2 linked regions of the Arabidopsis thaliana genome follow. Each later gene encodes a partner of the first gene's protein in a complex. Each region holds a gene or a part of one and is shown in the gene's direction. Other genes may lie near its edges.

Region 1 (3,754 bases):
TATAGTTCACTTCTCATCTTTATATGATTCTATTTTTGCGAAAAATAATATCATCATTATAAAAAATAATTAGAGTTTTTTCGCATATGCCATAATTTGATTTTTTAAAAACGAATATAAACTGTTCAATACATGAAAAAATATTATAACGGGTGAAAATAGATTTAAGAAAACTTTCTACTGAGTAACGGGTCATAATTTGAAATATTTATATTCAATTTCATACATATTATATTGAAAATTTATAATCTTATATACTACAATAATTAAAAACATATTAGATTTTCTTATATGTATGATGTGATTCAATTTTTAATACAAGCTGGAAAATCTTAGAATTGACGGGTTTAGATCGATATTAATACAAGATGGTATACTACAGGTGAAACTCTTAAATTAGCAATCAAACTACAAGTGTATAATCTTAAACACTAAACAATATACATAATATTAACAAAACATATACAACTCACAGTTTAATATACATTTAAAATCAAATAAAATAATATCATATATTTTTAAATCATCTTTACAATAAAAGTTTTTAGTTTAACTAAAATATAAGTCTACCTGCGGTATACAGCAGGTTAATATCTAGATTATAGGGCTTATTGGATCTAAAGATGGGTCATCAAATATTTCCTAAACTGAAGCAAAATATATTGAATATTCAAATATCTATCTGTTACCAAATTATAAACAAATAAGTTCGTAAAATAATTTAATATTTTATATACGAAATTAATTAAATCTTAATCACATAAAAATTAGCAAAACAAAAAGTATTCAACAATTAAAAAATTATCAAATCTCTGTGTTATATAAGTTTTGATACTATATTCGAATAAAATGTAATATACTTTTTCAATTTGTATTCTTTAACAAATTTAAGCTAACTAATATATTTGCTTTTTTGGTGGATTTGGGTAAAAGTGCATTCAGGTCATATGATACATTTTCCTATTGAATAAATATGGTGCACTCCTATGTTATTAGTTAAAATGTTTAGATTATAATTCAGAGTCATATCATTAATAAAATTAATATTAATAAAATAAATTGCTTTTTGGAAGACGGATTTGAAGGGACGGGTTTTTGAATCAACATTAATAAAAAAGTAAAATATAACTAATCCACCGTTTCAATACGGGTTAAATCTTTAATTTATTATTTTTTAAAACTACTAATATTAAACATATCAAATCATCCTAATTTAGAAAAGATTATATAAAACCAAAAATGTTATGTGGTATGTATAATATTACTATATATAAAATTAAACTATAAAATATAAATGTATTAGAGAATGATACAATTTGCAAAGCTTTTATATATAAAAAATAATTCTTAAATTTTAAAAATTACTACTTTAAAAAAAAAATCATGGGACGGGTAAGAAATTACATAACGGATTTTATTTTAGAATTGGGTTATATGGTGGATGTATTTGAATCAATATTTATAAAATATTAAAATATTATTAATATGATGTTTTAATAGGGGTTAAAACTTCAGTTTTTTAACAATTGTCTCATGGATTCGTGGTATAACGTTACCTAATAACAATTTTAAACTGTAAAATATTAATATTTTATAAAATTAAAATTTGCAAGTTTTAATATATTACTTTAAAAAAAAATCGTCTCGCGGTATACCGCGGTTTAAAATCTAGTAACAAAATATTTGAAGTACACACTAAACCAACTCAGTAATCTAATTAAGTAAATACAGAATGGACATATTTTTTGATAATTTTCAATTATTATTAAAATTCTTCAGTAAACAGATTTTTAATGAAAAAGATGATTAGATGATGTTTTGACGGTTGAAATTGGCTATAGGTTATATAGTTTAGATTTGTTCAGATTGATAAATAGTCTAAAAACCACTTTGAATAAATATTAGGATTGGGCCAAGCCCATAACACAATATTGGGTCAGATTTTAGTACATATTATGGGCCTATGTTAGCAAGATATCACCGAGTACGTAGCAACTTAGATTCTAAAGTCTAAACTAAACAAAATCGTAAATAAACTGAGAAAAAGCCTCCGTCTCCTCCTCTCTCTCTATTCATCAGCCTCAACCTCTCTTTCGTCGTCGACTCAGTTTCCGATTTAGGGTTACCCAATCTTCGCCATGTATCGCACGGCAGCTTCACGAGCCAGGGCTCTTAAGGTACATCCTTATTCCTTTTTACAATTTTACCCTTTTATCCTGTTCCTGGAAGATTCTGGAACGATTTGGTCCGATTCAGTGAATTAACAGATCTGGATTCAAATTCTTTCGTTTGTAGTTACTTCTATAGGTTACAATGATCTCTTCTCTGATTGGTTAAAGTCAATCCATTGGTTTAGATTATAACTCATCTGATTTTCGATTTAAGAGAAATGATTTCGATTATGATTCTTCTTATTGTCCTTTGATTGATACCATAGAAAAGATTGGTTTCTTATTATGTGATGTATTGTGATTGTGTGTTATATAGGGAGTTCTTACTCGTAGTTTGAGACCAGCGCGTTATGCTAGTTCTAGTGCTGTTGCGGAGACGAGTTCGTCAACGCCGGCTTACTTGAGCTGGTTGAGTGGTGGGTCTCGTGCTGCGCTTACTTCATTGGATATGCCTCTACAAGGTGTTTCTCTTCCTCCGCCGCTTGCTGATAAAGTCGAGCCGAGCAAACTTCAGATCACTACTCTTCCAAATGGTCTTAAGATAGCCTCAGAGACGACTCCGGTAAATAAAAGAACGAATTTTAATGTCTGATTTCACTCCTGAAAATGTGAACTGAAGAAAGTTAATGTTGTGTGCAGAATCCGGCAGCTTCGATTGGTTTATATGTTGATTGCGGTTCTATTTATGAGGCGCCTTATTTCCATGGAGCTACACATTTGCTTGAAAGAATGGCTTTCAAGAGCACGTTGAACAGAACTCATTTTCGTCTTGTGAGGGAAATTGAGGCTATTGGAGGCAACACATCCGCTTCTGCGTCTCGAGAGCAAATGAGTTACACTATTGATGCTCTTAAGACCTATGTCCCTGAAATGGTTGAAGTTCTTATTGACAGTGTTAGAAACCCTGCTTTCTTGGACTGGGAAGTGAATGAAGAGGTAGATCATTTTTTTTTTCCTTTTGTATTATTCTGATAACTGTGTTGAAACTTTTATGTGACTTTTAGCCATGTGTCGATGATCTTTTCCGCAGCTACGGAAGATGAAGGTAGAGATAGCGGAACTTGCAAAGAACCCTATGGGTTTCCTCTTGGAGGCCATTCATTCTGCTGGTTACTCTGGTCCATTGGCAAGTCCTCTGTACGCACCGGAGTCTGCTTTAGATAGATTGAATGGGGAGCTCTTGGAAGAGTTTATGACTGTAAGAATGCATGAGCTTTTGTGAACCATCTACGTCTCAGCGATTTCAAAATTACAATCCTATTTATTTGTCTTTTTGACTCAATTTATCTGGGAATTTCAGGAGAATTTCACTGCTGCACGGATGGTATTGGCGGCAAGTGGAGTAGAACATGAGGAACTTTTAAAAGTTGCTGAGCCATTAACTTCTGACCTTCCTAATGTACCACCCCAATTGGCTCCAAAATCTCAGTATGTCGGTGGAGATTTTCGCCAACATACTGGTGGAGAGGTAGGTATTCATGACAGATTTCCCATCACTGGACAAGTGTGTCTGAGATGAAGGTGTTTCTATGTCACATTTCTTATTGAGCTTTTGTTGTTCCATTTTCAGGCTACACACTTTG
Region 2 (3,754 bases), on another chromosome or scaffold:
AATCTGGATCGATCATCTCCACAATGTTGTACTTTTTATTTTTTATTTCTCGCTTTGCTGAGATTGTGAGGTCTTTTCCTAAACCAGTTAACATTTTAAGTAGTATAACACCAAAGCTATACACATCGCCCGCCATGTTCGACATCCCTTCATTTGATTAGTGCAATCAATTAAGGTTAGTCTCTTTGAATTTAATGGTCACTTTTAACTTTAAGATATAAGGAAGAAGCAGAAGATTGTTGCCTGAGAGTATGTATTCGGGAGGTGGGTATTGATATCTAGGTGCTACATTTGAAAACCCGATGGTGTATACCAATTCATCGAGAGAAACTTTTGGCTTTCCAAAATAGGAAACTCTTGCGTTGAAGTCCTGCATATCCCATAAATGTCACTTTAAAGGTAAGGAGCAAGTATTCAAGAAAAAAAACAAAAAAGGCAAGGTGAATACAAACCGAGTCGAGCAGGATTTTCGAAGCAGTGAGATATCTGCGGTATAGACCGGCTTGCTTCCTAGAGTGCAAGAAGGCAAGACACTGAGCCGCTCCTATGGATATCTTAAGTCGTGTCTCCCACGGCAATGACTTTGGACGACTATCTATGATATTATATAAACCATTAAATCCAAAAGGAAGATGAATTACTATTGGATCTAAGGTTAAGATCGTAAACTCGTGAGAGCTCCAGAAATCAATTTGAGCAACTCTCTTTATTCCCTCTCTATGATATTAAATTATCTAGGAATCATTTAGCTTGGTGTTCTTCAATTAGTATATTTTCCTCACTTCCACTAAATAAAGCTCTAATGAGCTATCTCAATTTTTAGATCTAGTTTTAAAGCTCTTATTAAGAGCTCTTACCTTTGGGTCTTGCTCGAGCAAGATTCTTCTTGCTTTGAGTCTACTCACAAGATATAATGACGAAAAGGAGATGAATAAACTTAACTTCCTTACCTCTACTGATGTAACTTCCTAAGCTTCCATTTGGAAAGTATTCAGAAACAATAAACAACATATCACGATCATAACAGTAGCCAATTAGCTTCACCAAGCTTGGATGAGAGTTATGTCGTAGAAACTCTACGTCAACCTACAAAAATATCATCTCTAATGTTAAGACACACTGACCCATCTCTAGGGGTAGGCAACATAGACATTTACCATCCAAAAACATCAAAAAATTTAGAAGAATAAATAAGTAACAAGAAACTTAACAATATTATTGGTTTTGCCGAAGGTTCTCCTATAGATTGAGATGATATAATTACTTACAAGCCAATCTTGAAAAGCTTGTTCATTGGCTAAGTAAATTTTCTTGACCGCGACGGCCATGCCAACACCTTTCTTGGCCGGAGATAACGTTTTGGGATTGATGTATCCCAAGCTCTCTCCTAGTTCCATCTGGTTTCCGAAATCATTAGTCGCTTTCTTCAGATCTGCCACCGTGAAGACTTTCACACCCTCCTCCACTATACATATATTATAACAAAACTTATATCCATTATAGTAACATTCAAATCAAAAGTACTTAAATCCGCAGAGAAATATATATATGTATACCTGATTTGGGAGCATTTGGTTCGGTGGGAAGTGTCGAAGCTGAGAGACAATTTCCCATTCGGATACTCTCTGCTAAATCTTAACACTAGAGTTCAATGAAGAAGAGAGGACTTTTAGTTTTTCACACCGAGGAGCAAAGTCAACGAAAACGCGTTTGAGAGTCAACGGTTGACGCGTTTTATTTGGTGAGTCATACGACGCCGTTTTTTGATAAGAGTACATACTACGCCGTTTGGCTAGAGTTTCATACGACGGCGTTTAAACAGATGTCTCTGGATGCTTCTTCCTTCTTCGTTCCCGGGTTAAATTACAAATAGCGGCGAAGGGGTTTCATCACAATTCACATCTTCAACGTTACTCCGAAGAAGATAATGGCGTCGTTTCTCCAGAGACTAGTAGATCCCAGGAAGAATTTCTTAGCTCGTATGCATATGAAGTCTGTTTCTAATCGCCTCCGCAGATACGGTACTCTTTCTTTCTCTCTTACCCTAGAAACCAAACCCTAATTCTCTTCTGGCTGATTTTGGGAATTTTACGATTTTTTAGGTCTTAGATACGACGATCTTTATGATCCTTTGTATGATTTGGATATTAAAGAAGCTCTTAATCGTTTACCGAGAGAGATTGTTGATGCTCGGAACCAGCGTCTTATGCGTGCAATGGATCTTTCTATGAAACATGAATACCTCCCAGATAATCTTCAGGTATGTTTTAGTCTCTAAGTAAGTGACAACAGAGCTAAAACGGTATATAGCTATGGAGTTTGTAGATAGAGCTTGCAAGATTTGACTTAAGACTTGTATTAGGATCAAGAACACTCTGTTTTCAGAAACCTGTTTTGGTTCTGTAATATAATTGTAACTTGATAAGCTTTGTAAGATCTTGTCTATGAAAGAAGTTTTTTTTGAGATAGTGCTTGTTAGTTGTGAGATAGGAAGCTTATGTAAATCTTTTTTTCTTTTCCTTGTCTCTGTAATTCCACAGGCAGTGCAGACTCCATTCAGGAGCTACCTCCAAGACATGTTGGCTCTTGTAAGAACAAAAACAGTTTTATCTATCTTGTAGTGATAGAAGAATCATATAGCAAAGTTCTAACACACGACACTTCATGTGCAGGTGAAGCGGGAGAGAGCTGAGAGAGAGGCTTTGGGAGCTTTACCTCTCTACCAAAGAACCATTCCTTAAGCATGTTAGTCTCTCTTGTGCTTATAGTAGGGTCACTGTTTTAGTACTCTTTAGGCTTCAATACCGCACAATTTGCTTTTGTATGGTTATGCATGGATATGTGAACCTTATGTATAAGATTTTATGAGATTGAATTGGATGTGTAATGTAAGCTTGATTGAGCTATTACAGAAATATGAGTAAAATATCCCACACCGGTAGGAGGAGAGTAAATCATGCTACATAAAGACATAAAGGCACACAAACCCTTAAGCTAGCTTTTGGAAATGTTTTCACAGTTCCTCATAGGAGCTCTGAAGAGAGGCGTGTAACCTCTGAACCACAATCCTTTATAACCCTTAGTTTGTCCTCTCAAATATGGGCTATAGCATTCAAATTATCTAGCACTTGTTGCATGGATGGTCTTTCCTTGGGATCTCTTTCAAGGCAGTTTTATGAGCTTGCACATACGCATCCCCTCTTCAACACGATAGCTATTCTCTAAATCTGGATCGATCATTTCCACAATGTTTTCTTTTCTATTCTCTGTTGCTTCCTCTGCTAAGATGATGCACGGGTTTCCCAAACCAGTTAAGATCTCAAATAGTATAACACCGAAGCTGTATACATCGCCCGCCATGTGTGATCTCCCTGTATATGCGTATTACCGTGCAATCAGTTTTAGGTTAGTGTATGAATTTTAATGGTCATTCTGTAGCTTGAGAGAGGACTTACCTGAGAATATGTATTCAGGAGGTTCGTAGTAAATTCTAAGAAATGCGCTCAATACAATTTTCTAGCTTGCTTACTCCTATAAATGTAACGCTCTAAGCTTCCGTTTGGAAAGTATTCAGAAACAATGAACAACAATTATCATCCGAACCGTAACCAATGAGCTTGACCAAGCTTGGATGCAGGTTATGTCGTAGAAACTCTAGGTCAACCTACAAACCTCGGCTGCCGTGTTAAGCATACATATATGAGTGATCAGTCTCTCTCGTAGAGGTTAATTTCTTACAAATCACTTTTGCAAG

The links. The genes of interacting proteins can lie anywhere in the genome.
Region 2: the proteins of AT1G51980 (region 1) and AT5G25450 are in contact, whole or in part, in a cryo-EM structure (PDB 8BEP), measured with the Arabidopsis thaliana proteins. Residues at the interface, in NP_175610.1 of Arabidopsis thaliana: Thr135 (codon at 2,928), Phe137 (codon at 2,934), Arg138 (codon at 2,937), Arg141 (codon at 2,946), Trp189 (codon at 3,090); in NP_197927.1 of Arabidopsis thaliana: Arg53 (codon at 2,165), Met97 (codon at 2,577), Leu100 (codon at 2,586), Glu104 (codon at 2,682), Glu107 (codon at 2,691), Arg108 (codon at 2,694), Leu111 (codon at 2,703), Ala113 (codon at 2,709).

The regions. Positions count from the first base shown.
Region 1 is NC_003070.9:19,325,156-19,328,909, reverse strand, and holds the start of AT1G51980 (Insulinase (Peptidase family M16) protein), read left to right. Parts: upstream 1-1,991; 5' UTR 1,992-2,138; coding exon 2,139-2,177; intron 2,178-2,487; coding exon 2,488-2,733; intron 2,734-2,810; coding exon 2,811-3,107; intron 3,108-3,201; coding exon 3,202-3,369; intron 3,370-3,471; coding exon 3,472-3,639; intron 3,640-3,741; coding exon 3,742-3,754. UniProt on the Arabidopsis thaliana protein: Substrate recognition and binding subunit of the essential mitochondrial processing protease (MPP), which cleaves the mitochondrial sequence off newly imported precursors proteins.
Region 2 is NC_003076.8:8,855,109-8,858,862, forward strand, and holds AT5G25450 (Cytochrome bd ubiquinol oxidase, 14kDa subunit), read left to right. Parts: upstream 1-1,808; 5' UTR 1,809-1,927; coding exon 1,928-2,021; intron 2,022-2,102; coding exon 2,103-2,260; coding exon of another isoform or gene 2,261-2,278; exon of another isoform or gene 2,279-2,540; coding exon 2,541-2,588; intron 2,589-2,672; coding exon 2,673-2,741; 3' UTR 2,742-3,368; downstream 3,369-3,754. Other genes in the region: AT5G25440 (Protein kinase superfamily protein), read right to left, coding at 1-147, 244-370, 453-595, 951-1,086, 1,212-1,465, 1,557-1,614. UniProt on the Arabidopsis thaliana protein: Component of the ubiquinol-cytochrome c oxidoreductase, a multisubunit transmembrane complex that is part of the mitochondrial electron transport chain which drives oxidative phosphorylation.